Linked DNA regions of Caenorhabditis elegans. The protein of the gene in region 1 interacts with the protein of each later gene in a pairwise test. Each region holds a gene or a part of one and is shown in the gene's direction. Other genes may lie near its edges. The genes, in order: nhr-6, rpt-2, jun-1 and rpn-12.

Evidence for each region.
Region 2: the proteins of nhr-6 (region 1) and rpt-2 interact in a two-hybrid assay, tested with the Caenorhabditis elegans proteins (2 studies listed by BioGRID).
Region 3: the proteins of nhr-6 (region 1) and jun-1 interact in a two-hybrid assay, tested with the Caenorhabditis elegans proteins (one study listed by BioGRID).
Region 4: the proteins of nhr-6 (region 1) and rpn-12 interact in a two-hybrid assay, tested with the Caenorhabditis elegans proteins (2 studies listed by BioGRID).

Annotation. Positions count from the first base shown.
Region 1 is NC_003281.10:3,570,163-3,580,297, forward strand, and holds nhr-6 (Nuclear hormone receptor family member nhr-6), read left to right. Parts: upstream 1-3,418; 5' UTR 3,419-3,536; coding exon 3,537-3,578; intron 3,579-3,688; exon of another isoform or gene 3,689-3,695; coding exon 3,696-3,761; intron 3,762-3,985; coding exon 3,986-4,088; intron 4,089-4,131; coding exon 4,132-4,214; intron 4,215-6,029; coding exon 6,030-6,107; intron 6,108-6,154; coding exon 6,155-6,306; intron 6,307-6,446; coding exon 6,447-6,641; intron 6,642-6,707; coding exon 6,708-6,997; intron 6,998-7,042; coding exon 7,043-7,200; intron 7,201-7,247; coding exon 7,248-7,608; intron 7,609-7,685; coding exon 7,686-7,807; intron 7,808-8,018; coding exon 8,019-8,228; 3' UTR 8,229-8,609; downstream 8,610-10,135. Other genes in the region: C48D5.3 (TIL domain-containing protein), read right to left, coding at 8,720-8,862. UniProt on the Caenorhabditis elegans protein: Transcriptional activator that induces gene expression by binding to the NGFI-B response element (NBRE) 5'-AAAGGTCA-3'. Required for proper morphogenesis of the spermatheca and the spermatheca-uterine valve formation.
Region 2 is NC_003283.11:6,014,800-6,021,180, reverse strand, and holds rpt-2 (putative 26S proteasome regulatory subunit 4), read left to right. Parts: upstream 1-3,511; 5' UTR 3,512-3,512; coding exon 3,513-3,675; intron 3,676-3,721; coding exon 3,722-3,942; intron 3,943-3,987; coding exon 3,988-4,710; intron 4,711-4,756; coding exon 4,757-4,981; 3' UTR 4,982-5,132; downstream 5,133-6,381. Other genes in the region: picc-1 (PAC-1 interacting and coiled-coil domain-containing protein 1), read right to left, coding at 2,151-2,175; aps-1 (AP complex subunit sigma), read right to left, coding at 2,431-2,722, 2,977-3,080, 3,129-3,206; Transcription factor fos-1, read right to left, coding at 5,490-5,611, 6,207-6,381. UniProt on the Caenorhabditis elegans protein: The 26S proteasome is involved in the ATP-dependent degradation of ubiquitinated proteins. The regulatory (or ATPase) complex confers ATP dependency and substrate specificity to the 26S complex.
Region 3 is NC_003280.10:9,109,623-9,116,953, forward strand, and holds the start of jun-1 (Transcription factor jun-1), read left to right. Parts: upstream 1-3,534; 5' UTR 3,535-3,668; coding exon 3,669-3,780; intron 3,781-6,994; exon of another isoform or gene 6,995-7,053; coding exon of another isoform or gene 7,054-7,105; intron 7,106-7,202; coding exon 7,203-7,274; intron 7,275-7,331. Other genes in the region: T24H10.4 (Transmembrane protein 53), read left to right, coding at 1-9, 175-239, 301-439, 486-993, 1,181-1,426. UniProt on the Caenorhabditis elegans protein: Transcription factor that recognizes and binds to the AP-1 non-canonical enhancer heptamer motif 5'-TTAGTCA-3'. Required for ovulation. Controls plc-1 expression in the spermatheca to regulate spermathecal valve dilation.
Region 4 is NC_003280.10:11,649,641-11,655,691, forward strand, and holds rpn-12 (26S proteasome non-ATPase regulatory subunit 8), read left to right. Parts: upstream 1-3,483; 5' UTR 3,484-3,486; coding exon 3,487-3,576; intron 3,577-3,620; coding exon 3,621-3,676; intron 3,677-3,722; coding exon 3,723-3,798; intron 3,799-3,871; coding exon 3,872-4,267; intron 4,268-4,318; coding exon 4,319-4,453; 3' UTR 4,454-4,552; downstream 4,553-6,051. Other genes in the region: coa-7 (Cytochrome c oxidase assembly factor 7 homolog), read right to left, coding at 950-1,363, 1,410-1,508; rad-23 (UV excision repair protein RAD23), read right to left, coding at 1,968-1,979, 2,034-2,837, 2,887-2,970, 3,017-3,088; nep-1 (Neprilysin-1), read right to left, coding at 4,833-4,932, 5,256-6,051. UniProt on the Caenorhabditis elegans protein: Acts as a regulatory subunit of the 26S proteasome which is involved in the ATP-dependent degradation of ubiquitinated proteins.

The DNA of each region.
Region 1 (10,135 bases):
CCCGAATAACCGTTTAATTAAAACTTTTGTGGTGTACATAGTTTTGAATATGACTCAATGATCTGGACCCTTCCTCTTCCTGTCCATTTACCACACCCCTAAGGTAGTCACTAAACTCCCTCCAAAATGATTCATAAGGTTATCAGCTGTTGAAGCTTATCGGAACAAAAATTACTATCCCCGTTGACGCAGTATATATATATACTTGCGGTTTGAAAAATGATCGTTCATATTTCTTCTTATCGTAAACTTATTAGAAATGTTTATTTTATTGAAGTAACCGAACATTACTTTTTGTCGCTCTCCATAATCTTTTTCAAATCCTCTCAAAAACAATGTTATTAACCATGCAAAATCAATTTAGAACTCTGCGTCTCTCCTCCCGCATTTTTTGTAGATCTACGTAGATCAATCCAAAATGAGACACGTGTAATCCATGTACCGCGACCTTCAAATTTCTAGCAACCTGTATAACCAAACGTATGCGATATTAATAACACTGACGTCTTTTTTTGTGATGCAAAATAAAAATCATCATTCCTCCTATCACGTTCAAACTCGATATTTTTGTCCGAAAAACGAAAAAAGGTCAGTGAGTCTTTATCAGTAGTATTGTAATTGTTTCCGAATTCGGAAGATCATTTGATGTCATGAAACGTAGTTTTGAAACAGTCTCGATGAATGCATTCAGTTGAGGTGTGTTTTGTGCCAAATTCTAGGTATAAACTAAAGTTATAGATTTCTCAGCTAAAATTAAAGGCAGACTAGTAGTGTAATTCTTTAGATGTTTTAATCCCCTTACGAAAGCCCAAATAGGAGGGAATTTCACGAAAGTGCCGCACTTTCAGTGTGGCCAAGTTTTGACCTAGCATTCTGAAAATAATCTAACAAATAGTTTTTACTAGTCTATAGGGCCCTGCGGTAATTCATGGAACACTGATGTGCGTTCATTTAGCATGCTTCTTTTTGATTTTTAAATTCTAATTCGAGTTAGCAGCTAATTTACCACGTGATGTCAGGCTGTCTCATTACGGTTTGATCTACAAAAAATGCGGTGTTTTCTCTCAAAAAAAAAAGTGACACTCTAGAGATTCCCACAATTCTCGTAGATCAAACCAAGATTTACAAGTTGTTGACTACTTGCTGCACCCAGGAGGTCTATAACTATAACTCATCTCTTATCAATAGATCAAAACGTTCAACTCACCTTCCACAGTCCAGTTCAAACTACACAATGACATATGAATTGGGGGGGTCAACTGTTTCCTGTAGATTCCTACATACTTCAGTTTCATTGATAAGAAGCACTTCGTCACCGAGTGTGGGCGATGTTTACGTCAGAGTGCTGGACAGTATCAAAATTAGTCACTAGAGCTGGAACAATGACTTAGTTCTGAGCTATTACTCACTTATGAGACACATGCACCGTCGCCTTCGCCGTCTCTCGAACCTAGTGGCTTTGATCTCTGATAGAGCTTCACGCTTTGGAGTAAACTATCTACAGACTCCCGGTGCATTGTGTGTCTTTGATCGTGTTATCATTCGTCTCCGTACAAGCGTTTATCAGTGGTTTCTTGCTTTTTACAAGCACTTCATCACGTCACTTTATTTTATTTGTTTCGTAGGTAAAAGGGGTGGGGAAATGGGACGAAAACCGTTTTAAAGCGGAGGTTTTCAGATTTTGAGTCAGTTTTTCTTGACCTTCTTGGCGAAAAATTTCTAATTTTATAATACATTTGGGGGTTAGCGAGCCTGCTTCCAAAAAGTATGAGAGCAAAGGATAGGTCTACAAAATTGCCCCATCTAACTTTTTTCGTTTAAAATTAGTGTAAACTATAGAAAATGATGTACCTGATTATTCGAAAATAACAAATATTTTAGCTGAAACATATTAGAAAATTCTCAAAAATAACCTGGAAATTGCCATTCATCCATTATCGAATTGTCTAGCAATTGACAACTTCTAGGCTATTTTGAGCATTTATTCAAATGTTTTAGCTCAAATAAATGCTATTTTCAAATTAATCAAATAATCAAATCAAAATATTTTGGTCTCATTGCACCTGGTGCAATAGGACATTTTTTAGAATTAACGCCCCTCATTTCTCTCAAAAACCGATTCCTCGAAAAAAATTTCCTAACTCAAATTTTATCTACAGTCTTATGCAACAGTGCATTGCGAAAGATTTCCTAATGCTCCCACAAACCGCAAAATTTTTTCTCAACATGTACGTTTTTCTTGTAATTTACAGCTTCCTTCCTACTATTTAGCATATTTTTCCAAATATGTTTTCTGATACGCCTTGTTACTCACAGGAGCTAGAACTAGATAGACAAACCAATTAGAACATCCCCCCGGAGGTTTGTATGTTTTTCGGAAAATGATCCATTGTTCAGATCAGTTATGATGTGTCGTGAGATGGGCGGGAGGAAGTGATATCATAAGTTCCCTTTACGGTTTCTGGTATATAATAATGCTCATTTAGTCGTAGAAATTTATTGTTCCGACTGTTCCGGAAAGATAATTTTTCTGTAGATCATTTATGCAAAAAATATTTTTCACTTTTGCATTAGTTTTTGCGTAGCACCCAATTTACCGAACAACTCTCCTTATCATGAAAATGCCCTTGAAATGACTAAATAATTTCACCGGTGCACATACTTTCTATTTTTTCCTTTTTTTCCATTGTCTAGAGCAGCAGCTGACGCAATTTTCCGACCTTTTCACACTTCCCACTCTGCATGCATTTTTGGATTTAAATTGTCTACGTACAAAATATCTTGCACCTGTGATGAAGTCACAAACTAGCTCAGAGATTAATTAGCTCTAGACATAGATGCTAACTGATGGGTTTGCAAGTACCTATGCCTACCTGCGTGCCTTCAACTCCCCTAATGCAGATAACAGTAGCCGTAGGTCAGTTGTAGGCACGGCAGCAGGCATAGAAGTTAACTGTTACAGTAACCACTCACCTGTACATTGGGATCTCCTCATTGATTTTGAGAGCTGACCTACATAGTATATCGAAGCGATTCGATCGCTAAACTCTGAGCTCACAGAATTGGAAACAATGAAAAAAAGGCTGATTCTGCTTTTAGAGTGACCACTTCTAATTTTAGCCGGCCCGGTGGTGTCGTCAAAATTCCTTTCCTGAAATTACGTAGATAATCAAGGCGCGGGCAGGTGAATATTCCATTCAAGACGGGCAAGAACACATGTTGTTGACTTTTTTAGTGTTGCTGCTCGATCAGTTGTCACAGTGTCAAATCACCTGCACATGTGCATTTTTAGGTGCTTCTGATGACGCGCCACGAGCTGCTACTCCGCCTTCTCAATTGTTTGACACTATATAATTCCCGATCGTCTCTCTCTCTCTCCCACTCACCCAATCTGAAAATTCGTTAAAATTCTGAACATTTTCAGATTGACCACTACTAGAGCTCTTCTCTCACTTCTTCTTCATCTTTCTTCATTCAAATCTTACAACTCCTTATATCGACCGCTCATTAATCGGATGCGCGGTCTGTCCGACTGAATGGAACAACTTAGTATTCAAACGGACGAGTTGCAAGATCAGGTACCCTAACCTATTTCTTTTTTTTTTTGAGTAGGCGAACTGGCAGGTGTACCAGAAAAACTGTTAAAGTTCGGTGGAAAAGATATGTGGTAAATTCTATATGTGGTAAATTTTCAGTTTTCCAACTGCTCGCCAGCTTCTGTCGATAGTAGCTACTCATCCTGCTCCAGCGTGGAGGACGAAGTAAGTATTCTTATTCTCATCTTCTGGAAGCCTAAACAAGATTGGGCTTATGCTTAGGATTCGGCTTAGGATTAGGCTTGGGCTTAAGAATTATAGAAAAAAAAATACAAAAATTGCACAATCCCAAAAAAACAGAAAACTCAAAAATCATGTGCCCAGAAACAACGGAAAATGAGATATTACAAAATCTGGCAAAAACTTTAATTTAAATTTTATTTTTTAAGATCGAAATCTACACACGCCTCGTGCGTAACGAAGAACCTCTGCGAAGGGACTTCTTCCGCGAGATGTCGAAAAACTCTTCGTGCTCCTCATCATTCGACTACGGTAATTCACAAAATTTCCATTTCTTCCTAATTATTGGTTTCAGGAGAGTTTGGACCATCTTCCTCGTCTCGCAAAGGCTCCAAAACCACCGATGCCGACCTCGACAGCCTTTTCCATTCTCTTGTGGTGAGCTCTTTTTCCAAGAACTTTTTTAAGATTCCCATGAAACCTTTTTTTTCAAATCTGTGGGAGAAAATTGGTATAATCCTTTTCTGAGCTATAATTTTTTTGAACTTTTTTCCGGCGGTAAAAAAAGGTGTGAGTGGGAACATGTGAATAATATCACCCGACTCCTCGTTTCCCACTTCATTTCAAACTTGGCATCCCCTCTCAACACAGTCATTGTTTCCTGTCGAATCACCCTGCACTTTCCCAACACATTTCGTGCCCGCTTATTAGAAAGATAATTGGATAGGTGAGATCACTTGTAGAGAGAGCCACGAGTGGTGTTGGTTGGAGAGAAATATTTCTCGTTTCAAATTCATTCTACAACTTTTCCACCCAACTAGTAGTAGTCTTTCTCTTTCTTTTTTTTTGGGTGTTGGCGCAATGGTATTTGCCATTAGTCATAGAGACAGTAGCAGCAGGGGTGGGACCCCTAATGCTAACAAGTCACTTGTACCAAAATGTCATTCATTTATTAGTAGTGTTTCTTTTGATGTTGCTGCTTTCTTTTTTGGCTACTGTAAAAAGTAGACCATTTTAGAAAATTTGGCAAGTTGTTTAGAAGTTTTTGGAAGTCGACTATTTTTTTTCACTCAAAATCAATGTTTCAACCTCTAAAAAATTTGAATTCTAGAAACTTTTTAAAAAAATTCTAATTTTTCCCACTGCTCAAAATTTATGAGAGTCTAGAAATGTAAAAAAATGTATCAAAAATCCCAAAAAAAAAACTAGAGTAGCCCCCCACAAAAATGGCTCCGAGTTTCTGAATTTAGACCCAACTTTTCATTGAAAATTACTGTCAAAATCAGGAATATATGCATATTGATTTATCTGAAAATCAGATTTTGCCCACTTGAACCATTGGAAAAAATGCTCGAAAATGGCCTTTTCAACAAGTATGATTTTTGATATTTTTGACCCATTTTTAGCATTTCTCAATAAAATCGCCCTGCATTTTTAAGGCTTTAGAACGTTTTTGGAGCTCTCGAGATAATTTCTTTATTTCTAGTTTGCTTAGCCATGTAGGCGGTAATTTTTCGAGGACTACAACAAATATTTTCAGCCCACAGGCTCTGCGTCATTTTAGACCAGAGAAGAGTACAAAAAGTTTAGCTCTCATAGCTCTTTTCTTGTTTTCTGCTCCAAAAAAACTCTTAACTTCCTCACATAAACAGTCCGAAAACCCGAAAAATATTTAAATGCTGGCTTAACCTTCAGTTTTGCTCAAACACATACACCCACTATCATCCGGCTAATTGATAGATACACGTGCCATTTGGCTCCCCCTTCAGTCCTCTGTGTCCACACCAAAATTTGGCATGAAACACCCCGCAATTTGTCGTCTTTCTTCTTCCTTTCATCCATCTCGAAAACTCTTTACTTTCGATTTTGATTTGATGGTCTCTCTGGGAAACCTGTTTCTATTATATCCTCAAAGTGTCACCTCTCATTCTTTTTTGGCTTCTGTCAGCGACGTCGTCATCACTCTTAGGTGGTCTCGGGGCGTGGACTGACATAATTCCTCGTGTATGCTCTTTTGTCGCAGCTAATGCTCAGGGCTCTGGACTCCGCCCCTTGAAATTTTCCTGGGCAGCCGCCTAATCAGCTGTTTGATAGAAGCGCACTTTTCATATATTCATACTTACTTCCCCCCTGCACCCTACAGTTATGATGAGCAAACGGACAGCTAGCAAAATTGACAAGCCTGTGGTCAGGCTCGGAGATGATCTTAGCGGACTTATGGGCTTTATAAAGTCTGAAATTGAAAGTTTGCAGGAGACAAGCGATCAGGTGAACACTGTACCAAAGCCCACGAAAACCGAAGTCGAGAGTATCCCCGAAGAATTCGAGCAGGTAAGAGCTTCATTCTGCACACAATTATAAACTTTTAATAATTTCAGAAACCATCCTCCTCCAGTCACCGTTTACCATCCGAAATGAACGCCTCAATCACCCATATCAAAAGTGAACTTGACCCAACTATGCAAGCATTTCAAATGCCACACAACGATCTTTTCCTGGCAACCGCCGCACCGCATTACAATCCATTCGCGTAAGTGTCGTCACAGATAACCACGTGTGAATTACTTTTGCTTCGTGTTTTCTACGTAGTACATCGAGCCGAGGATTAACCTCCATTGAGAGCATAAGCTGGTGCTTCCACGAGAGGATTTCTATTGTTTCTTCTTACAGACTTTCGAATGATTTCATGCCGAATCCCTTGATGCCTTCATTCACATCTCCATTCTATCCTCAACACTTTCCGGTATCGGATTCCAGGCGTGGAAGTCAGGGGACAACGAGCTCGTCGAACAATACCGGCGGAACACCATCGCCTCATTCAAGCTCTCTGCCAACGTCACCCCCGCAGTTGCAAGGCTTCTTAAGGTTCGTTTTTGAAATTTGAAATTTGATATTTTAAATTTGAAATTAAAAAAAAAAGAAAACTTTCAGATCCTTCCTCAACCCCGACAACCTCTCCACACCAACCTCATTCGGTGTCCCATCGGAAACAGCTCTTGACGCTGACAAAATGTGCGCTGTGTGCAATGATCGAGCTGTTTGCCTGCACTATGGAGCCAGAACTTGCGAAGGATGCAAAGGATTCTTCAAGCGAACTGTGCAGAAGAACTCCAAATACACTTGCGCTGGTAACAAGACCTGCCCAATCGACAAGCGATACCGTAGTCGGTGCCAGTACTGTCGCTATCAAAAGTGTTTGGAAGTCGGCATGGTCAAAGAAAGTAGGTGTACCCTTTGGGAAATGTTCATTATTTGTGATATTTCAGTTGTTCGACATGGTTCTCTATCGGGGAGACGTGGACGTTTGTCGTCAAAGACGAAGTTGGCAAGATCAGAGGATCAACCATCTCCACCGCTTCCTCTTCTAGCTTTGATGGGAAAAGCAATTGAAGATCATACAAATATGACTGTTGTCCGGCAATTTGTAAGTCGGAAATTTAGCATTTCTTTTGGAAAATGTTTATCATTTAGATGCAACCATTCGATGAGACTATCGCACTGAGAATCCTGCACGGAGAGCTTCATGCCACCAAGAAGCTTCTCATGGCAATGCCACAAATTTCCGAGATTCAGCCAGCCGACTTCCAGATCCTCCTCAGCAGATCTTTCTTCGCAATCATGGCAATCCGCGTGGCAAACCGATGTGGCAACAGCACCGACACAATTATGTTCGAGTCTGGAGAGCTTTTCTCGTTGAACGCGTTCCCTGCCTGCTTCCAACAAATCATTCGATTCATGGTTGACAAAGCACGAACCTTCAGCTCATTGGTTGACTGGGAGCCTCAGGCATTCGCCGCCTTTATTGCTCTTCAATTTTTGGCTGGAAACACAGGTGTGTAGAATTTAAACCCTAAAAAGCTTCAGCAAAGTTTATCTACTCCTCATTTCATAATTTCAAAATTTTTTCAGAACATAACGTACTTGGATTGACCAACAAACCTCTCGTCGACCAGGTTCAAAGTACCATCATCAATGCTCTCAAGGATCATTGCAGCGGATCTCAGAACAAATTGGCCAAGATCGTTAGATTGGTAAGTTTGTCATTTTCAACGTGTGACGTAGAATCTAGCGGGGAAGCCTTGTAACACGCTTTGAGGGCAAAATTTGCACGCTTCTAATGCTAATCCATGTCTGCCAGGAAGCAAAATTTTTATTTTTTATTGAGGGTTGCACTGAGAGCAAGTATTCCAGACTGACATGCAAGTAGGATGTCTAGTATAACACTAACTATTCAATTTTCAGACCCAAGAATTCGATGTATTCCATGCTCTTGGACTCCAGGCCCTGGACATTCTCTATCCATCACACCAGCTTCCAGAAGAGTTCATGTTCCTTATCAATCTTACACGTGCTCCATTACGATCTACGGATGCACCGCCAGCTTGTGGAAGCCCAGTTGCCCCATCTGGAAGTTCACTTTTTAACTTCCAAATGGGCCCGGCTGCCTTTTAAAATTTTTTAAATGTTTAAAATTTTAAAAATTTAAAATTAATATATTTTTCAAAATCGCTAGCCCCATTGAATTGCATATCGCAAAGATTTCTAATTTATTTTGTTTCCCCACTACTGTCTCAAACAAAAAATCACTTCCAGAAAAATTTCAAATAACTTGTTACCGGTACTTTCCCAACAATTTTTGCTCCTTGAACCTCAAATCTCTCAGAATTTGTCCCCCCATTCGGTTTTTATTTTATGAAAAGCCTCTAGTTTTTGTGTGAATTCCAATCCCCGAATATCAATTTTGTTTTGTTTCAATTTTCAGAGTTTATTTATTTTAACTGATATTTCTTGAAATTATTGTATAGAAAAAGAAAACCATAAATTATATATTTTTACATTGTTTCATTTTATTACAAAGCACCGGAGAGAGAGGGACAAGAATACTGTGGGGAAGGGGTATACTGAAGTTTAGAGAGCAATTCCTGGAGAAAAAGGTCTGAAGCTTAACAAAAATTATTTCGCATTTGTCGTTTGTTACGTCTCATGTACTGGAACGCGGTTTTCAGATCGGTTTTCAGCTCGCAGCGGCTGAATCCACGGTCGTCAATGATGGGCTCCGGATGAGCAAAGTCTGGGCACTTCTTCCCTGAAATTTGAAGGTTTTTCGAAGTGAAGAAGGCATGTGTCCCCTCAAATAGAAGTGTGTGACGTCACACGTTTTAAGGGGCATTGACCTACTGTATCATAATTTACGCGCAAAGTTTCTGTTCTGGACTGTGCTGAACTTGGTTGAACCGCGGAACCCGCGAAACGTCCGTGCAAGAACAATCGGGACATTATTTCCTTTTAATATTAAAGTTTTCAAAATGTTAGGGTTCGCCTCAAACTGTTCTGTGTGACGTCACGGGTTGGCCAAAAGCGTCAACTTTGAACACAAGTTTCTAGTATAAATTTTAGTTCAAAGATAATTGGAAATTATTTTAAGGTGAAAAAGAAATGTGGTAAGAATACTAAATCACCTATTGAATTAATTATAGCTGCAGAAGATCACTGAAATTTTCACGACAGCTGATAATATTTGTTGAAATGCCAGGGAAAGGTTACCTAAAGTTTGTCGGCTTTTTACGCAAATGACAGGAAAATGAATGAAATTTTTGAAATCGCGGGGGTTTTTTGTTGCAGCCGACGTTTTACGGGCACTTTGAGAGGATTCCTAGAAAACATTTTGTTGCAAAATTGTATACTCTGAAATAATGTTACGGGAATAATCCCTTCATTACACTTTTTGTACCTTAAACCTATTCTATGTCTGATCTTTATAATAGCATTACAACGTCTGCACCTATACACTTAATCTACCACCCAATACAATTCTGATCTGTGACGTTTGCCCTCCCCAACTTTAATCTTCTCTTTTGAAAGCTTTTGTATCTGACAGAGCAGGTTGTTGGTTGAGCATTGGGAAGTGATAACCCGGAAATTTTACCTGTGAAAAATATTTTTTTGGGATCTTTAAGGATAAATGTTGCTGGAAAAAAATGGAAAGATGACCGGAAATGTTGTATAGTTTTTTAAAAATTAATGAAACTTTGAATAATTTTTTTACTATTTTAATTTAGTAAGGCACCTCCTAAAATCAATTTTGAGACATTTTAACGTTCGCAAGTTCAAAAAACTTAAATATACTTTGAAATTTAAAAGGTTTAATCTTATATTACTAGTTTCAAGATAAAATTTTCAAACCTCCCTTACAAAGTTTAAATTTTTTGTGCTGTGGGCATTTTTTAAGAAAATATATTTTTTATGCAATTTTGGCAATTTCCAAAATTGTAGAAAATTTATGTTACTTGCAATTGCCGCGCTGACCTCAAAATTTTAGATAACTGTATATTAGATACTGTAATTCTGGCAAGGGATCT
Region 2 (6,381 bases), on another chromosome or scaffold:
AACAACGGCGGAATGAATATGCATTTCGAAAAATGAAATATGAAGCGTAAAAAAGAAACTACTGAAGTCTCATCAGTCAAGGTAAGAGGAAAAAAGACAATCTTCGAAACAGCCAGAGAATGCCCACACAATTATATAGTACGATTTACTCATGGCTAGTTGAAACTTTCACCTGGCGACTTATTCCAATACGACAATGAAAATAATAGGTAGGATTGGAGACCAAGTAGACGTACTAATTTGTATTGAATCTAAAACTTTAGTCGGAACAAACTAGACGTGAGATTTTTGAAGCGGTCAAACTTTCGGTGTCATGGTAAAATGGTTAAGCTAAATGCTTTTTCTAGTTTTCCAATTTAATGGCATATCTGTAGTTAATAAGAACGTTGCATCAAATTTATAGACGTAGAACAGAAGGTATGCCACCACCTGTACCTCATGTTACGTGACACAAATTAAAGATGACTATGTGGTACAGTACCAGTTTCGTGGAATGGCTTCCTGTGAAAACTGTCAGATACGATTTACCACAAAAGTGGGAGGCATTTGTGTAGAATTGGGATTGACTTTGAGTAAATGAAAATGGATAGTCTCGTTCGATTTAGGTGTCGAAGTTAATGCCCCGAATGAAAGAGGAAAAGGTGGATTAGACGATACTTTCATGAGGAACAACAGACAAAAAAAGACAGTGTAAAAACTGAAAGAAAAAGAGATGGTATCTCGATAAAGGTTCCCACACAACTAATCTGATCTTATAGATACATAGAGAGAGGATTACGTCTATTTTATTCAGCGCAATATTGTGTGCACAATAACGTTGCAGAAGAACACATATGACGATAAATAATTGACGTTGGTTAATAGACGTATTCTGACTAGGAAATGAGGGCACCGTCACGTTTCCGGGAAGTATATGCAATAGGAAGACTGTTTCAGTCTGTTCGCACCTTTTACTGGTTGCACCATCTGGGCAGCTGTGTAGCAAAATTAAGTGTCTAATCTGTTTTTAGAGTATTGATAGGTGTGAAAACTTCCAAAAAACTAAAAAAAAAAGGTTACGATTTTGAACTGGAATTATAGTAATTGCAAATATGCTTGGTTCTGTCATCAATTGCAAAATAAAGGTTTGCCAGTAAGAGTACGACCTCAAATTGCAAGTCGTTTGGCGGGAAACAAGAAGTGAACACGGCAGGGTGCCAACATTCACACTTTCGTCGCAACTTGCGAGAACAAAACCTGGTTTAGTTCTGCGTACCCACAAAAACCAATTACTTGTACATTGCTATTAGGAAAAACTATTATCGATTTTCAACATGTGATTATTTTTAATGCACCACGTAAAGCTAATTTAAATCTACCAAGTGAAAAATGGAGTTCCGTTGAATTATATACATTTATTGTTATTACTTGAAATCGTTCTTTCCTAAAGTTAAAAGCAACTGGGAAGCGTTATTTCGAACCAACTCTTTGGCTGATTTTCAAGACTGAAAAAAATAGCGAGGTTTGTTTATGATTTCTAGGGTCTCATGGACTGCGAATATTGAAAATGCGAATACTTATTCAAATAATGTGATGCGTACTTCTGCTTTCTGCCAAGATTTTAGATCAAAAATTAACTACGACTCAAAAACTAGGTGAAAGAACAAGTGTGTGCTGGAGCAAATTGATGGATACTTGAGAGAATGAGTGAATCCGCGCGGAAACATTTCCCGCTGTCTCCGCCTTCACTGCCCTTGTTCAATGTAAAACCAAAAACAATGCAAAGTATAGTGGATGGGAAGAGGAAGAAGTATTGGGCAGAAAACATGAAGAGGACACAAACATCTACTGTACGAAAATGATTAAACTTTGAGAAAACGGAAGTGATCGAAACAATTTTGACTAGTTTAATCATACTTATCGAAATTTCAGATAAATGATATTTTGAAATTCGACACCAACAAGAAGGTGAACATTGTGCTTTGTAATCTAACAAATGACAATTCCGGCAGAGGTGCCAATCATTCCTACATTCATTCCGTTCGAACTGACATGTTACACTGCCAACGTTCGCATATTACCCCCCGTTGAATTATCCTTGAATCCACCTTTCCCCTGTTCGTGTTTTACACTCATGTGCGGGAAACTCGGCAAAATTCACATTAGCTCACCTCGTCTCGGAGTTGTGATAATCATCCGCTTCGAAACCTGAGAAAGTTCAAAACTTTAAAGAAAAAATTGAAAAAAGTGTAGAAATAATGCAAGTCATGCATTGAAGTTTCCTAACAGAAAGAATACATAATGGAAGATTGAAAAATGAATGTTTTCTTCTCTTATTCACATGAATATTATCACAACCAGACACATAGCCAGGATAAATAAAGTAAGGTGGAAGTATTTGGTATTTACGGAAGCTTTCAAAGTCAATAAATTATGTTACTATTATCTTCATTATCCCAAACCGTGATCCTCGAAGAATCCTTGTGGAGTTTCTTCTTCTTGAATGAGATCTTGGGCAGCAATCGCCTTCAAAACTTGTTTTTTACTGGTTTCCTGGATTTCACCAGCCAGTAAAAATTCGTCGAGTATGAAGTAAGCTTTTTCGAAGTTGAAGATGATATCCAGCTCACAAACACTTCCAAAATATTTGTCGAGGAGTTCTACGTAACGATGAATGACTTCCAAAGTGATGAGCTCGTTGTCGTTTTGTTCGATGGCGCAGCAGAAATACAGAGACGCGTATCTGAAATTGTTGAGATTAAAAATTGAACGAATTGTTAAGTTTTTGTTTCATTTATCACAAAAATGTCTATTAAACAACTAAATTTGACGCCAAAATATTTTTCATGAATAAAAAACGTAATAACTTCGGATTTAGGTGTGTAACTATAATTTTCAAGAAATTTTGATTATAAACTTGTAAGTTATTTTCAGAAGGAACAATTTTAAGGCATGACAGGAAATGGGAGTTGTTACTTTTGAATATAAAATACGAACCGTTTGTAGACAACTTTCAAATCCTTGTATTCGAGGAACGCACACATTTTCGGTTTTCTCGCCAGAATTTGAGTGATGAGTTCGCGGCAAATTTTCTTCTTTTGCTGAAAATTGAGTGTGAAATTACACATATGAATAGGAAATACACTTACCTTGTCGGGGTAAGCAGTGTACCATTTCTGCAGCCGCAGTTTGCCCTGGCGACTGAAGAGAAGCATGTATTGCATCATGTTTACTGAAAACAAGAGTATGAACAATCGTTTGCAAACTTTAAAACGCTGAAAATACTTAAAAATCAATTGAAAAATTAGATTTTCTGAATAAAACAGACATGTGGCTTCGTCAATAAAAACAACGAAGCTCCGAAAATACGAAACCGCGCGTTGTTTAGTTCTCACCAGAGCGCGCTTGCATTGTCATCATCAACGCTGTATTTTTTTAAATCATTCTTCGTTCTACTTATTTTATATCTTTCAATTGTTTTCTTTTTCAAACGTGGACTTATTATTTTTCATATAAAATCATTATTTTCTAGAATGGGGCAACAACAGTCAGGTTTCGGTGGAAGAGGAAATGACCGCGGTGCCGGAGATGGAGAGAAGAAGGAAAAGAAGAAATATGAGGCACCGATTCCATCTAGGATTGGAAAGAAGAAGAAGGGGTCTAAGGGACCTGACGCCGCTAGCAAACTTCCAGCTGGTAAGTTTCAATCTAGTGTGTATTTTAACTGATGATTCGGTTTTAGTCACACCACATGCCAGATGCCGTCTGAAGTTGCTGAAGAGCGAAAGAATCAAGGATTATTTGTTGATGGAGCAAGAATTCATTCAAAACCAGGAGCGTTTGAAGCCACAAGAGGAGAGACAAGAAGAAGAGCGCGCCAAGGTGGACGAGCTCCGTGGAACACCAATGGCAGTCGGATCACTTGAGGAAATTATCGATGATCAGCACGCCATTGTTTCAACTGTAAGAATCAATATATCGATAATATTTTCTTATTTCAATATTTAGAACGTCGGAAGTGAGCATTACGTCAACATCATGTCATTCGTCGACAAGGAACAACTCGAGCCGGGATGTTCAGTCCTTCTCAACCACAAGAATCACGCCGTCATCGGAGTTCTCTCCGATGATACAGATCCTATGGTGTCTGTCATGAAGCTCGAAAAAGCACCACAAGAAACGTATGCCGATGTTGGTGGTCTTGATCAGCAAATTCAAGAAATTAAAGAAGCAGTTGAGCTTCCACTGACTCATCCTGAATACTACGAAGAGATGGGAATCCGGCCTCCAAAGGGAGTTATTCTATACGGTTGTCCTGGTACTGGAAAAACGCTACTTGCCAAGGCTGTTGCTAATCAGACGTCAGCTACTTTCCTTCGTATTGTTGGTTCGGAACTTATTCAGAAATACCTCGGAGATGGTCCAAAGATGGTCCGTGAGCTCTTCCGCGTTGCTGAGGAGAATGCACCATCAATTGTGTTCATTGATGAAATTGATGCTGTTGGAACAAAACGTTACGATTCGAACTCTGGTGGAGAACGTGAAATTCAGCGGACTATGCTTGAACTTCTCAATCAACTTGATGGATTCGATTCCCGTGGAGATGTTAAAGTTTTGATGGCCACTAACCGCATCGAATCTCTCGACCCTGCTCTCATTCGTCCAGGTCGTATTGATCGTAAGATTGAATTCCCCCTGCCAGATGAAAAAACGAAGCGCCGTATCTTCCAGGTTGGAACAATTTTTTCTAAACATTATATGAAGTTTTTATTTTCAGATCCATACATCTCGAATGACACTCGGCAAAGAAGTTAACCTCGAAGAGTTCATCACAGCAAAGGACGAGTTGAGTGGAGCTGATATCAAGGCTATGTGCACAGAAGCTGGTCTCTTAGCTCTTCGCGAGCGTCGTATGCGTGTCACGATGGAAGATTTCCAGAAGTCCAAAGAAAATGTGCTCTACCGTAAGAAGGAAGGAGCTCCAGAAGAACTCTATTTGTAAATGTGCCCCGTTTTATTTATTTTTTTTGTATTTTCTCTTTCCCAATTTATTTTATTCCCTTTTTGAACGTCCCGTTGCACAAAAACCGATTTAATGTAATTTTAAATCTGGATTGATTGAGGTAAATGATTCATGATGAAAAATATTCGTTTATGTGACATTGGGATTGATGGTTGGTAAGGAAAGTTCATGAATTTAATGAAACTGAAGAAGAAAAAAATGGAGAAAATCGACTTGAAGATTTACCAGTGAAGAAGTTGATGGTTTCGAAGAATAAGAAAATGATGTTACAGTTGAATGTATTTCTTATCACAATAATTGGAAACGGAAAGTTGGGGGAATTTCAGTAGCTAAAAGTGAAACTATAATGAGAAAAGAGAGAACTGGCTGAATTTAAAGATATGGAAATTGGATAGAAAATCGGGAAATTGTATGAAATTTTGTAATAATGAGAGCTGGACGGGGAAAATTACAAATGCACGCTACAGAAAATGATTTGAATCGGAATCTAGAGTGGTCGGAGATCAGCATCCGGATGTGGTTGAATCGGGGTTGGAGTTGAAACGAAGTTCATTGTTGGCTGACCAGAAGGTGTCAGACCAGTGTTGGAGGAAAGCAAGTCGAATGGGCCTGGAATGAAAATCGTTAATTATATTTTGAGAAATAAAAATAACACTTTTTAGCCCGGGATGAAACTGGAAAAATTTAAGAAAATTTTCGTATATTGTAGAAATATCGGCATTTGAATTAAAATTATGCAAATTTCTGGGTCTTGGCACGCCAACAACTTTCCAGCTACCGTACTCGCAATTGTAGTTCCAATTTTAACATTTTTTATATTTAACGTTGAGTTTTTTCAAAATATTCCAATTTTTGTATGATTATTGCAATATTGATATCTCAAAATACACGTGGTGTCAGAGTGTCCTATATCGGTTTGATCTCCGAGAATCGCGGGAATTTAGACGCATACTTCAAGTATCGCATGGTTAAGAACGTGATGGCGTCACATTTTTTAAGGGAATAAATTCCCGAATTTTTTGTAGATCAACCCGTGATGGTACAGACTGACACCACGTGAAAATATTGGTAGAAACTAGAAGAGCTCGGGTACGGTAGCTGAAAAGTTTTGCTCGCGATGAGACTCAGATTTAGGATTAAGAATTGCAATATTGTAAAAAATACAATTTTTATTCATTGGCTACAATCCGATTAAATAAACTACCTGGTGGGCCTCCGAATAGTCCATTCCCTGTACTCTGCGGTGTTTGATTTTGATATTCCCCCCCGAGACGGAAAGGCCTGCTGGGAGTAGTGATCGGCTGATTTTCAACGATTCTGGAAAGCGTCGGAAGAGCTGACGGACGTTCAACGTCGTCTGGCATGGTCAATGATGTCAG
Region 3 (7,331 bases), on another chromosome or scaffold:
CTATCTTGGGTTAGTTTTAATTTTTTGAATGGTTTTTCTCCAATAGTACACTTTTCTGCAACCCAGCCTTTGAAATAGTTAGCAAACGTTGTGTTGTGCAAGCAAGATGTGAATCATTCTTCTCACACAATTTAAAGTTTTGGCGTTTCGAAATTATCTTCTTGTTTTTTTTAGAATGACGTTAGTTGCTCCAGCTGAGGTCACTGAGAAAGAAGCAGAGGATATCACTATTAATAAAGGTATTGTCTTTTATATAATCCTTTCTTATTCAAAAAATAGTTGTTAAATTTTTAGTTTCAGAAGAATCGAAAAAATCGGGTAATGAAGCTGCTATAAAAAATGTTGTTGCTGGTTCGAAAACTCTCGTTGTACTGTTCGGATGGGCCGGTTGTAGGGACCGATACTTGTCGAAATACGCACAGTATTATCAGGATGCAGGGTAAGAAAAAAAAATACCCTTAACTAACATCAAATTAATTTTACAGAATTTCTACAGTAAGATTTACTGCTCCAATCGCTAAAATCCGAAGTTTTTCGTCATATCGCCCGTTTGCATTGTGCTTTCATCGAATTCTGAATGAGATTCTCCACGACCAAAATGACATCACAACAATCTACTTCCACGTATTCTCTATGAATGGATGCTCTTTGCTCGCAGCATACTGGGATCAATTACAAGATCTCGAGAATGGAAAAGAAGTTCTTTCAAAATCCAGAGGACTTATCTTCGATAGTTGTCCAGCATTCACTAGTCCATCTCAAAGTGCACAGGCTATCTCGTTTGCCACACTTCCACCGAGTCATTACCACGGAGCATTGAGAGGATCATATCGAGCAGTTCTTTATACATTCTTCTCATTTCATAGAGGAGTTTTGTGGTTGAGATCATTCTTGGAGAAGGATATCTACGAGAGACACTATGCGTATTTCAAAATGATAACATTTGACAATCTACCGGCGAAGCAGCTCTATATTTATGGACCTGCAGACTTAGTGAGTTGAATTTTCAAAATAAAAGAAAAAAATAGGTATTCTGAAATCCAAAATTGAAAAAAGCTAAAAAGCTTCTTTTTGTTTACACTTCCTAAATTTTTTGCTAGTTTTTACAGTGTTTTAATTGTTTTATTCTAGATTCTAGAATCTAGATTTAACACATTTTTAGCTTAACAAATTTTTCCAGGTTTGCTCCGAAGAATCCATCGAAGAATACGCCCAGTTAATGGAGCAACGTGGTGTTTCAATCTCAAAACTTCGTCTTCTCGATTCTTTGCACTGCCAACATCTCCGATCTCATCCCGTGACGTACACTCAAGAATGCCTAGACTTTGTGAAATCAGGCCATCTACCAGCGAATAGAAGTCGTGTGCCGTTAGAAATAACTGAAGAAGCTGCACAAAATGATGTACCTGAAGAGCTTGCCTACTAGATTCATATCTATAGATTTTTATTGTTTCTCTTAATATTTATAGATGGTAATTCGCATAATTACTTATATATTAATTGACCGGTTCTTCCCATCTCCTTTCCCAACGTTCCATCTCTATGTCCCAGTTTTATTCGCTTTAAAAGCTTTTGCTTGATACTATTGACATTAGATATAAATTATTACTTTTTGAAAGTCCCTGCTATTACACGAAAAAAAGTTTCCTTCCTTCTAAAAAAAACTAAACTAAAAACAGAATCTTGGAAGCGTAAATATTATTTAGATGAGGGGCTCCTTATTACGTATGCCGGTGCGTGCACTTTCTATTTTCTTCCTTTTTTTCTGAATTTTTTATTTTCAGCCAGGCGTTTCCCTTTCGACGTAATTTGTTCTCGAAATCACCTGAAATGTGAATGGGTGGGCAGAGGAAACACAAAAAAAGAGAGAATTCAAATTGATTCTGATGTGATGCCATTTCCACTAATCTCTCAATTCTTACTCCCACCATTTTTTTGCAATGATTTCCGAATTTGTGACTGCTTTTTCGTTCCGATTTCATTTTGATGACCGTGTACAAAAAGATGAGCAGACAACCATAACGAACGCGAAATTGTATGGAATCGTGAGAGACATAAGTATGATTAGAGAAAATACGAAGTTATCAATTATGAGTAGATACTACTGTTGATATTGTAAATTGGAAAGTGAATCACAAATCATGACTATTGGAGACCAATGAAACACTTTCAGATTTATGTTCGAAACTTCGTACCCAACTTGGTTCCGAAATTGGCAAAACTTGGCCAATTCCTGGTTCACGAATGTACAATTCAAAAGCCTCTAGATATCAGCACAAATAAGCCAAATAAAACATGAAGTTAGTAATAATAAAAGATAATTAGCATCGATCGTGTTAGGCCGAATGACTATTCTTATGCAAATTACGGTGTTTCTATGAAAAAATTAAGTGCAAGTGCCGAAAAAAATCTACCAATCAAAATTAACTTTGCAAATGCGATACAAATTCCCAAATGCAATGAACTGATATCTACCGTACTTTCCAAATGGTATGGTACACGGTATGTTACCTTGAATAAAACTTGTTTTGATATCTAGACGAGTTGTTTGGTATGCTGAATAACATGGTAAAACAGTTCAAAAAATTAAAAAATGTTTGTAACTGTAGTCAAAATCTGGCTATTACTAATAATATGTTATCACGTATTACAAATATGAAAGATCTAGGACCGAACATGCAAAAATAGTATAAATTACTTTGAAAAAAAACCTTTTTTTTGCATTGTGCCAAAAACAAAACCTCAAACAATTTCAAAAAGAAAATCAAAATATGTTTAGATTTTGTAAAAATGATCTAGAGTATTTCTGGTCTAGTTGAAGTATGTGCAGACAAAATTCTCGAATGTCATAATCGAACACTCCAGAGTAAAATGTTCATTAACAGTTTTAGTAAATTGCCAAATTTTCCAAAAAATGTTTTCTGGTCGACTTCCAAAATTGGATTTACTGAAACATGAGTTTTTATTACTCTCGGTTTTTATTAATTTGAAAAACCGGATCAGAAAGCTTCAAACCCCTGCAAAAAACGTATTATATTTTAGTTATTATTGGGTGCATAAACAAGATCTATGGGTAAAAGACTAATGAGGTCAGGCCTAAAAAGAATGAAAAACAAGATGAGCTCTGAAAAAGCCAATGAACTTCCAAAAAGATAAGTGGCTGATGGAAAGGCAAATACAGAAGTCAAAGGAGCGGAGAGAAATGAGGGAAAAGAGACGGAGAACGTGAAGCAAGCACACTGACACATTATTTACGGTAACATTTTTCTGCGAACTTTATCCATTTCCTCTCTTTCTCTCTCCATTTACCTTTCTAAATGTCAATTGGGTGGTGGAAAGAGAGAATGAAAAATAGAGAGAATGAGAAACTTCTGGATTCTCTCAATTTTCAATGTTTTCTTTCAATGTTCGTTTGTCTATCTGCGTCTATGGATGTCATGGATCTGGAAAATAGAGAGAAAGAGATAGAGATAGAAAAAGAGAGAAAAAGGAAAAGAACGAGTCAGCAGAGGAAAAGAGACAAGAGTGAGTGTGCGTGTGACTCATTCTCGGGGCCCCCGCCGACTAACCCCCATCGCCATCGTCGTCAACCGATTCGTCATCAACTTCTCTTCCTCTCTATTCAATTCTTATTTGTCAAAAGGTTTTGAAATCAAAATAAAACAAAAATGGAAGAGGATCAAGAGGAACCACCATCCTCATCAACATCATCAGAATCTCCAGAAGTTGTTCTAAAAGCTCCAAAAGCTCCAACTCGAAGAAGGAAAAATTCCAAAAAGGGTTAGTTTGTTTGTCTAGTTCAAAAGTTTTGGAATACTTGATGATAAACCTGTCACAATAGGAAATGGACAATCATGGTTACAAAACTATAGTTTCACTACTATCAAAATGCCAAATTACAACTACCAAACATTTGTGATCTCGTGATTTTATCGTTAATTGATGAAGTTGTTTGTCAAAACATTATATCAATTTGTAGATCTATGTTTAATATGAATTCTTTGAACCCATAAAAAGTTTATGACGCGTGCCAAAAAAAACAGGTGGTTGTTAAAATTGTTTTGTATTTTTCTTAAATGATTTGTAAAATTAAATCATATTGTTTCTTACCAAATTGAAAGTTTTTCTATGCAACAATTTCCTTTCAACTGGACATAAAACACTTAAAAATAGAGTAAACGGTATAATCCTGGCTCCGCCCACTTTTATGAATGTTCATCATTACATTTTAATCATCACAAAAACTACGAGCGAGACTCTAATTCGGAGAGAGACGCAGTGATCGAGAAAAAAAAATCGAGTTGACACGTGATTTTCGATTCCAACGACGCAGCTACTGTAGTGATCGAAGCGGCGCACAGCTTTTCCCGCCCGTTCCATCTGGCAACTGTCTGCGTCTCTTCGTCTTATATGGTCTCTTTTCTTCGAACTGTTTTTTGTTGATAAACGCATATGCCTAGTTTAGCGGAAGTGTAGAGGCATTAGGGTTAGGATCTAGGAACTTGAAACTATATATATATATATATTCCTAGACCATATTCTGTAAACTTGGTAAATTTTTTGAACTTTCATTAAACCTAAATTCTTGATTAATATTTAAAATTGCAATTAACGGTAAAACTATGTTTTTTTGGAAAATCTCTACCTCCTACTCTAGCTTGTCCCCTAGCTTTACTTTGAAGATTTGTATTATTCAAATCCTTCAAAAAAAGCTTAAATATATTATGGTATACAAATCCGACAAACCTCATTTCTCTAAAACCTTCATCTAGAAATTTAACATATTTCAAACCCGACATTTTTTCACAAGAACTACCTAATAAATCACCACAATATGTCTCTCCGCCCTCTCTTGGTTTGAGAGCAATATTTCATTGGTTCGACCTGATTGTGCCAAATGATAAGACTAACAGCTGTTCCTTTCGGAAGTTTCATTATTAGCTCATCAGATCATTTTAGTACACTATTTGGGTTTTTTAAGGTTTTGTCGAAATTTATAGTTAGGTATTTTGAAAACGTTCTTCGAAGTCATATTGACAAAAGTACAATACGAAAATACAAAACACACTATAAGTACAGAAAATTCAAGCAAAAGTTCAAACAATGCTATTTTAAAATTGATTTTGAACGATCGAATGCTATAAAAAATCTAAAATGATCTTACAAATGGCTTATCCCGGCCCTTCGCTTCTCTATTTTACGTCGAATTTCTCGTTATCAAGATTTTTGCAAAGAAGATGTTTAAAAGTTTGTCTTGAAATTTTTTTTAGCTACGTGAGCTGAACTAATTTTCGATGCGTTTATTCTCGAACTTTGGTTTCTTAATTTCCATTTTATCCAGACATATTTTGTTCATTCGTTCTATCCGTTCCCATTCATTTCTTGGAATGAGTCATCGGGCTTTCGTAAATGTTTTGACACACACTTTGCCCCTTTTTTCCTTCCCATCTTTCAGTTTTTAGGCTCTGATTTCTGTTCCATAACATGCATGGGTAATGAGATGAAAGAGGCTATGGCAACTCTTGCGAAACAGTCATATGTTTGATGAAATATTCAGGCGAATCTCTGTTAGTATTTGTTCTCATTTTCTGCAGAAGTTGTTTCAATTTTAGAATGGAACCTGTAGGTAGTTAGTCATTTTGAACTCAGTTTTAGCTAGGTTACCCATAGTAGATCTATCTAGAGAGGTGCATCCTCAGGATCCACTGCCTGCCTCAAACCTACCCGCCCCTCCTGGCTTCATATTTTTGATTCAACGATGTTTGGCGCTCGAATTGTGTTAACTCATGAGTTATTAATATTTCTAGGCACAAGGCAGGCAAGGGTTGCCGTGAAGGCAAGCCAAGTTCCGATGAGGCGCATGAAGCCCTAGTTTCAGCCAATTCCCATCAAACCTGACACTAATCTTTAAAGAACATATTCATGACGTTCTGCTCGTGGAAGACTGATCTGCTCTAATATTTTCTTTTTGATGTTTATCTCTGAGCTTTTCTGGTTCTCTAGTTTCATCTACATTTTCTGTTAGAGAACATCTGAGAATCTTTTTCTTCTTCTCTTTTTTTCACTTTTTCTATTTTCCCACCATCATAAACACAAATTAAAGAACGTGCTTGGATGGAGCATTATGAAAGTTTTTCACTTTCCTTTTTCGTGTCGCGTATTCAAAAACTTTAAACAACATTTCCCACCAACTTTTTCTGCTAATCAGCGTAGTTCCAAGAACATCGTTAACATGTTTTGTTAATCAAATCTAACACGCGTTTCATGATCAATTGATGTTTGTGTTATGAAGTTATCTGAAACATTTTTCTTCATATATATTGAATCTATTTTTTTGTTATGCTTTTCTCGATTCCCGCCAATTTAGGATATATTCTTGTTGGAATTGTACTTCCTAAATGTGCTGATATTTTGGAAAACAATTATTTTCCGGGTCTTTTGATTTGATCTATGATTTTGCAGTGGCTGAATTTTAAATAATTATCAAAGAAATCATAGTTTTTGTAAATATACCTAAAGAACATAACCGTATTTTAATATGGAATTGATCAGAAAATAATCAATCAGTTGTTTCAAGAATCACCAAGAAATGGAAATTTATAATTCTCTATCCTACCAAAAATAGAATCGATTTCAAGTTTTTTCACATAACTAGAAATTTTAAAATAACCACCAGAACCACAGTTAAGGTAAATGGAACACAAAGTTGACTGTAAGGGGTTCGAGGGACGAAAGGCGCCTCGGTCACGCCTCGACCGAGTGGAATGCCTACTAGAAGCACAGCATCAGAGACTGTTCACGACATTTAACAGTTACAGTGATATGGTAAATAACGAATTAGCAATATAATTCTTCCCGTTTGTCTTGAAATTGTAAGCAATTCAGTGTGCTTTCAGTTCATCCTGAAATGTCGGGTTGTTGAGTAGTGAGTCATACTCGCTTATCACCAAAAATGGTTCTCCACCTCCATCTCATTCTCTCATCGTTTCGTTTCGTTTTCTTCTTCTTCGTTTTCCGATTCTCATTCTTCTCTATTTATTTTGTGAATCGATGATGAATAACTCGTTTGATATGAATGTGACACAACATACCAACTCTTCACCATGTAAGGGTTCATTTTAAGAGTGACAGTTTCATTTTCAAATGACACGAATACCAAAAGACTAATTCCAATCTCTGAAGTATTAAAAGTTAACTTTCAGATCGGCGACAGGATATGGAAGTAGATGATGGCGAGAAGGAAAGCACAGCACAGTACTGTAAAGGATTTTATGGTGAGAATTTTGAATATTGAAATGAATGGAAATTTTAAAATAAAAAAAGAAAGTCAC
Region 4 (6,051 bases), on another chromosome or scaffold:
TTAATGGGGTGAAAAAGTATTACAAAAATTTCGAAATCAAATTGACCAATAAAAAAGATAAGTGGAATGCACCATGAATTTTTGATGAAAATTTAATTCGAAATTACAAGAAAGGTATTGGTATATTGTATGTTTTTTTTTGAAATTTTGAATTTTCTTATTTATCTTCTTTTTATAAATAAATATTGCCCATATGCGAAAATTTGCGCGTTTAACGACAAAACTACGGTATTAGGTCTTGAAACGACTATTTTTTGTAAAATTCAACAAGGTAAGCGCCCTTAAAGAATACTGTAGTTTCAAGTTTCCATTTTTGCTGAATTTTCACCGATTTTTTCTAGGTATTCCATCAAAAAATATGCATTTATTTAACAACTAAAAAAAACATTCAAATTTTAACAAATTATGAGAAAAACTATGAAAAATCGACGAAAATTGAGGAGAAACGAAAGTTTGGAATTACAGTAATCTTTAAAGGCGCACATCTTTTTGCATTTTACAATCATTTTTCGTGTCGAGACCATTATTGCTTAAAAATCGCAAAATTTCTCGTCTGTTTAGCTTAAAATATTCGGTGAAAAATATGTTATAACAATGAATTTAATGGGTTCGGAATTCATAAGTAATGGTCTCGCAGCGCGCTCTCTGCATTTATTTAAAAACGTTTTGATGTACGCGCCTTTAAAAGATTACTGTAGTTTTTTACGTGCAGATTTTGATAAATTTCGTGTTTTCTAATTTTTTTTCTAGTAAATATTTCACAAAGGTTGTTATATTTAATTAATTTTGATGTTCATTTTTTCGAATAATAACGTTTTCAATGTTAAAAGTGTGTAAAACTAGAAATAAAGTTTTCTACAGTAATCTTAAAGGAACACAAAACATTTTTTAATAGATGCAGGGTGCGCGGCGATCCTTTTTCGCATTATTTTGAAAAACAAAAAAAAACCTTAGCCTCTCCTGCAGCATTCGTCTTAAATTTCTCCTTATTTCCCATATACCAGGTACTCAACAACCAGCAAGCTTCACCATCTTCCAGTTCACAGGCTCTTCTCATGTATCGTTCAGCCTTTTCTGAATCAGCTTTCCGATCTTTTTCTCCATTCCAATGAACAAGTGATAAATATCGACATCCTTGTGGAATATTCGCATCACATGCGATTTTCATCGGTCGAATCATTTTTGACAGACTTGCATCGTCTCCAACTTTTCCGGCTAACATGTACATTCCGTACTTGAAACATGACTTTGGATAACTGTTCTCGTCACAGTTCTTCTTGAAAATCGCTACGGCCGCTTGAAAATTTTGTTGCAGAGCTTCCATGTATTCGCCGAGCAATTGACAGGATTCTGGCCTTTTTTCCTGAAAATTTAACTTCAAAGAAAGATTGAAAATTCAAATTTCTCACTTCGTAGCATCCAAATCTGTACTCAATCCCAATATTTTTCACATATTCCGCCCTTTCGGCCTGTTCCTGCATAGCTTCTTCGCTTATTTTTCCAGACATCTTCAAGTAAAGTGAATTAGCGCATATTCAGAAGAAATGAACGACCGATATTGGAGTACGAAATCGTGATGACTCATTGGGTAAAGTTTGATAAATCGAAACGAAGAATCATTAAAACATTTGACTTTCATTTGAAAATGTTGGATGACAAAAGGGAATTACAATACCGAAATTATGTCACACAAAATTCGCTGAACGCGACGAGAATTTCAACGAAGTGCCTACCAGTAGCGGGTGACAATCAGCACATGGAACTGAATGTGTTATTATCTTAAATATATAGACAAAGGGCAATCGAGAAGGCGATGAATACACATTCTTGGAAGAAGTGTTAATAAAAAAATTAGGCTGATAGGAGCAAGAATATAAGCTTTACGGAAATGGGGGAGAGAGAATAAATTAATTTCTGTTGCAATTTCCAGTGACGGTGATCAGAAGTTATTGGCATGGGTAAGATAATTATTCCTCATCCTGAAATAATTAAAAATTAAACTTCTAATTATCTACGTATGGAAATAAACTCACGAGGTTGCTGAAAATAAAGTTGATAGCGGCTTCCTCGTTTTTGTCACATGCGAAATAAGCCTCCACAACCACAGCTTCTGGTGCATTAACAACTATGGCTTTGATTCTCTCAATAGCAGCAGCTTCTTCGGGACTGAGATGGATAACATGGCGACGTGGGGTGTTTCTTTCTGGCGCATTTCCTGCAGCGGCTCCGGCTCCTTGAGCTCCACCATTCAAAAGATCCATGAAAGCTTGCTGGTTGTTCTGAATAGTCTGAACAAGTCTTGGGTTGACAGCAGCCAACTGCTGAAGGACTGCGGCGAGCATTTCAGGATTTTGTTGAATCAAAGCTCTAATTTCTGCAAGCTGTGGCATGTTTGCAAGCATGTTAAGATCGTCATTGCCATCCTCATCCACGTTATCGATGTTTTGCTCGGGCCCCAAATCTGGTTCTTGGTCAGCAGCATCATCAGGAAGTCCGTTGAGAAGAAACTCGACTGCGCGGTCTGGATTCCAGAATGCTGCGCGCAGAGCAGCGATAGTTTGTTCACGGTCATAGCCCATTCCAGTGATTGCGAGAACGTTCTCTTCTTGCTCATCCGTAAGCGCCTCCGCCTCAGCAGGAGCAGCAGCTTCAGGAGCAACATCGGCAGCTGGGGCTGGGTTTGACGCAGGAGCGGCAGCTACTGGAACAGGCTCAGCAGCTGTGGCAACGGTAGATGAAGGTGCAACTTCTGTGACTTTCCTTTTGCTGAGCATCACAACAACGAACTTCGAAGAATCGAATCCGACTTCTCCGACCTTCACAGAATCGTCGAGAATCTAAAAAAAAAACATACTTTAAAGATATTATGAGCCTTCACTGTAATACCTTTCCGTTGTAGATTAATTTTTGAAGTTCTGGAGCATAATCATCCCCTTTCTCCGAAGCGACCAGAGCCTTTACTTCCGCAATCTGAAAGAAAAATAAAATACAAGTCGAACATTAACTCTAATCTTACCGTCTGATCTTCATTCAATTCCAAATTGAAGTTAACTTGTGTGAGAGTCCTGAATGTAACGGACAAAACCATCCTGCAAAAAATTGTGAAATGTTACGAATAGAGTCATGTATTGAAAGAAAAAGAAATAAATATCGATAACAGATTGATATTAATGCAAAACAAGCAGTATATATGTATAAAATAAACAAACATTTGATTATTAATAAAAGAACAAAACAAAAAAACCATTTTGAAGAACAAAATAAGTGGTAAAAAACAGAAGAGAAAATGGCTTGGCGTCTTAAAGGCGCACATGATTTGAACACTCTTCGTGGCGAGACCTGCCAGAATTGTCATTGTGTCGATTTACGGAGAATGCGTTTATTTCTTTTTTGAATGTTTTATTTTTATTTTTTAACTTCACTTGTGTTTATCGTGAACTTTTATCTTCGATTTTATCAAATTAAAACATTATTGGATTTAAGAAAATGTCTGCCGCCCATAAAAATCTTCTGGCTGTGTGGGCAAAGGAGCCAAAAGATCTTGTCGCAGTTGAGAAGGCTCTGAATGAGTTGACGGTCAGTTAATTGTTTGTCAAATTGTAAATAAATTGAATTTTCAGAAGGTTCTCAGTGCCTCCAGCGATTTGAATGATAAACAGTCTGCATTGGCTTCAAAGTAAGATTTTTCTTTGGTGTAATGAGTTTAAATTATTAATTTTCAGAGATTTGTACGAGATTTCGGTGCTCTTGGCAATTCTGAAGCACGATTTCGAAACGTTCGACGATTACATCAATCAGGTGAGTCTTTAAATAATTATTTGGAAAATTTATGTAATTTTTAACGATCTGTAAATTATTTTTAATTTTCCAGATGCATACCTACTATACAATGGCGCCAGAAAATTCTGAAAACAAGCATTTAATGACTGGACTCCATCTGATGTTCCTGCTCGCTGCCAACAGATTGTCCGACTTCCACATGCTCCTCGAACAAATTCCACAGAAAGAGCAAACATCAAACGCTTACATCTCTACGCCAGTTCGTATTGAACAGAGTCTCATGGAAGGAGCCTACAACAAGGTTGTGCTCACCGAGAAGAATATTCCAAGCCCCTTCTACACTATTTTCATTCGTATTATGCTTGACACCATCCGTCGCGAAATCGCAACATCTATCGAGAAGTCTTTCAAAGTTCTGACAGCGAAGGATGCCACGGTCATGCTTCTGTTCGACAATGACGAACAAATGAAAAAGTTTGGACAAGAGGTAATAATGATTTTTAAAGCTACAAGTATTAAAAAATATATTTATTTACAGAGAAAATGGCATTTGGATGGAGAGCGTTACGTTTTCGAAATTGAGGTGGCTCAGGAGAAGCCTGTGAATTTGGATACAGTGCGAGTCGCAACTCAAACCCTCTTCTACGCCAAGCAACTCGAACAAATCGTTTAACCGGTGTCTTTCAAGAACTCAAGCATTGTATTTGTAAACTGATTTTAATTTATTCGCGTCTTTTTCTCGGTACTGTAAGAAAATGAACTTTCCGATGCATTGTTTTAGCAAGTTTTAATTACATCTGAAAATTTTATTTGCACAAAGATTTCTGGAATGAACAAGAACATCTATCAATATGATATACCAAAAAAAGAAGTTGGAAAAATTCGAGAAAAAATACATAGAGGGACAAAATACAGTGAATTCGAGTGTCTATTGTTTTCAACAATATATACAGCTAGATGAGTAAAAAAAAAGGACGAAAGATTTAGTAGATTCTGAGAGACAGATAGATAAAGCGTGCCAACTTGGTTGACTCCTTTCCCGTATTTTCTGATTACCACACAACACAGCGTTTCGTTGGATTCATCGGAGATCCAGCTGGACATTTGAAAGCCTCGGCAAATTCTGGCTGATTTGTTAGAACCGTGTTCACTCTGAAAAAATTATAAATAATTGTTGCCAAAAAAGTTGAATGAACGATGATGTGTATTGCGTAACATATTTTTGAATATCTTGTAGCGAAAACTACATGTAAATAGTAAATCGTCTACTTATGGAAATAAACTCACGAGGTAAATCTTTAAATGACTACTGTAGTGGTTTCGATTGTTAAACGAAAAATAAATAAATTTCCGAGCCCGTAAATCGACACTACAGTAGCCCTCTAAAAAGTTACTGTAGTTTTCGCTACGAGATATTTTGCGCGTCAAATATGTTATGTAATACGCATTCTCGGAATTTAGTGTTTCAGTAATACCTTGCAGTTTCTGGTGAGTGAGGATCAGTGAGTAGCAATAAAGTCTTGGTCTCTGGCGTCTTGGCTCCACACCAAACTTGAGCATATCCAACGAAGAAGAGCTGCTCATTGGTGAGACTTTCAAATTGTGGAAGACGAGCTTCTTGGCCTCCGTGTTTCTCCAGATATGACTTGTAGGCCTTGAAAGCTTGCTTGATTCCACCATTATCTGCGATATTTTCTCCCTGGGTCAACTTTCCATTGATTCGGAGATCAGTTCCACGGAGTTTCACATCAGCGTACTGCTCGATAATGCATTGGGTTCGCTCATTGAATTTGGAAGAGGTGGTGTTATCCCACCAATCACGAAGATTTCCGACATTGTCGAATTGACGTCCGGTATCATCGAATCCGTGGGTGATCTCGTGTCCAATAACTGCACCAATTCCTCCGTAGTTGAGAGCTTTCGGGAAACGAGCATCAAAGAATGGCTGTTGAAGGATTCCAGCTGGGAATGCAATAGCATTTCTTGTTGGCGAGTAGAACGCGTTGACAACAGCAGCACTAGAGATGAACTCGAATCTGTTAACTGGCTCCAGGAGTCTGCGATAATAGAAGTTGTTACGCCATTGGATGCTCTTCTCGACAAGCTGACTGAATGAGTCCTCTGGTGCTCCCTCAAGACCCTTGTACCAATCATCAAGTTTCTCGTCGTTCAGAATAAAGTCTGGATATCCGATTTGTTTAAGCATCTGATCAGCTTTCTCCAATGCATACTTCTTAGTTTCAGCGTCCATCCAATCATTTGCATGCATCA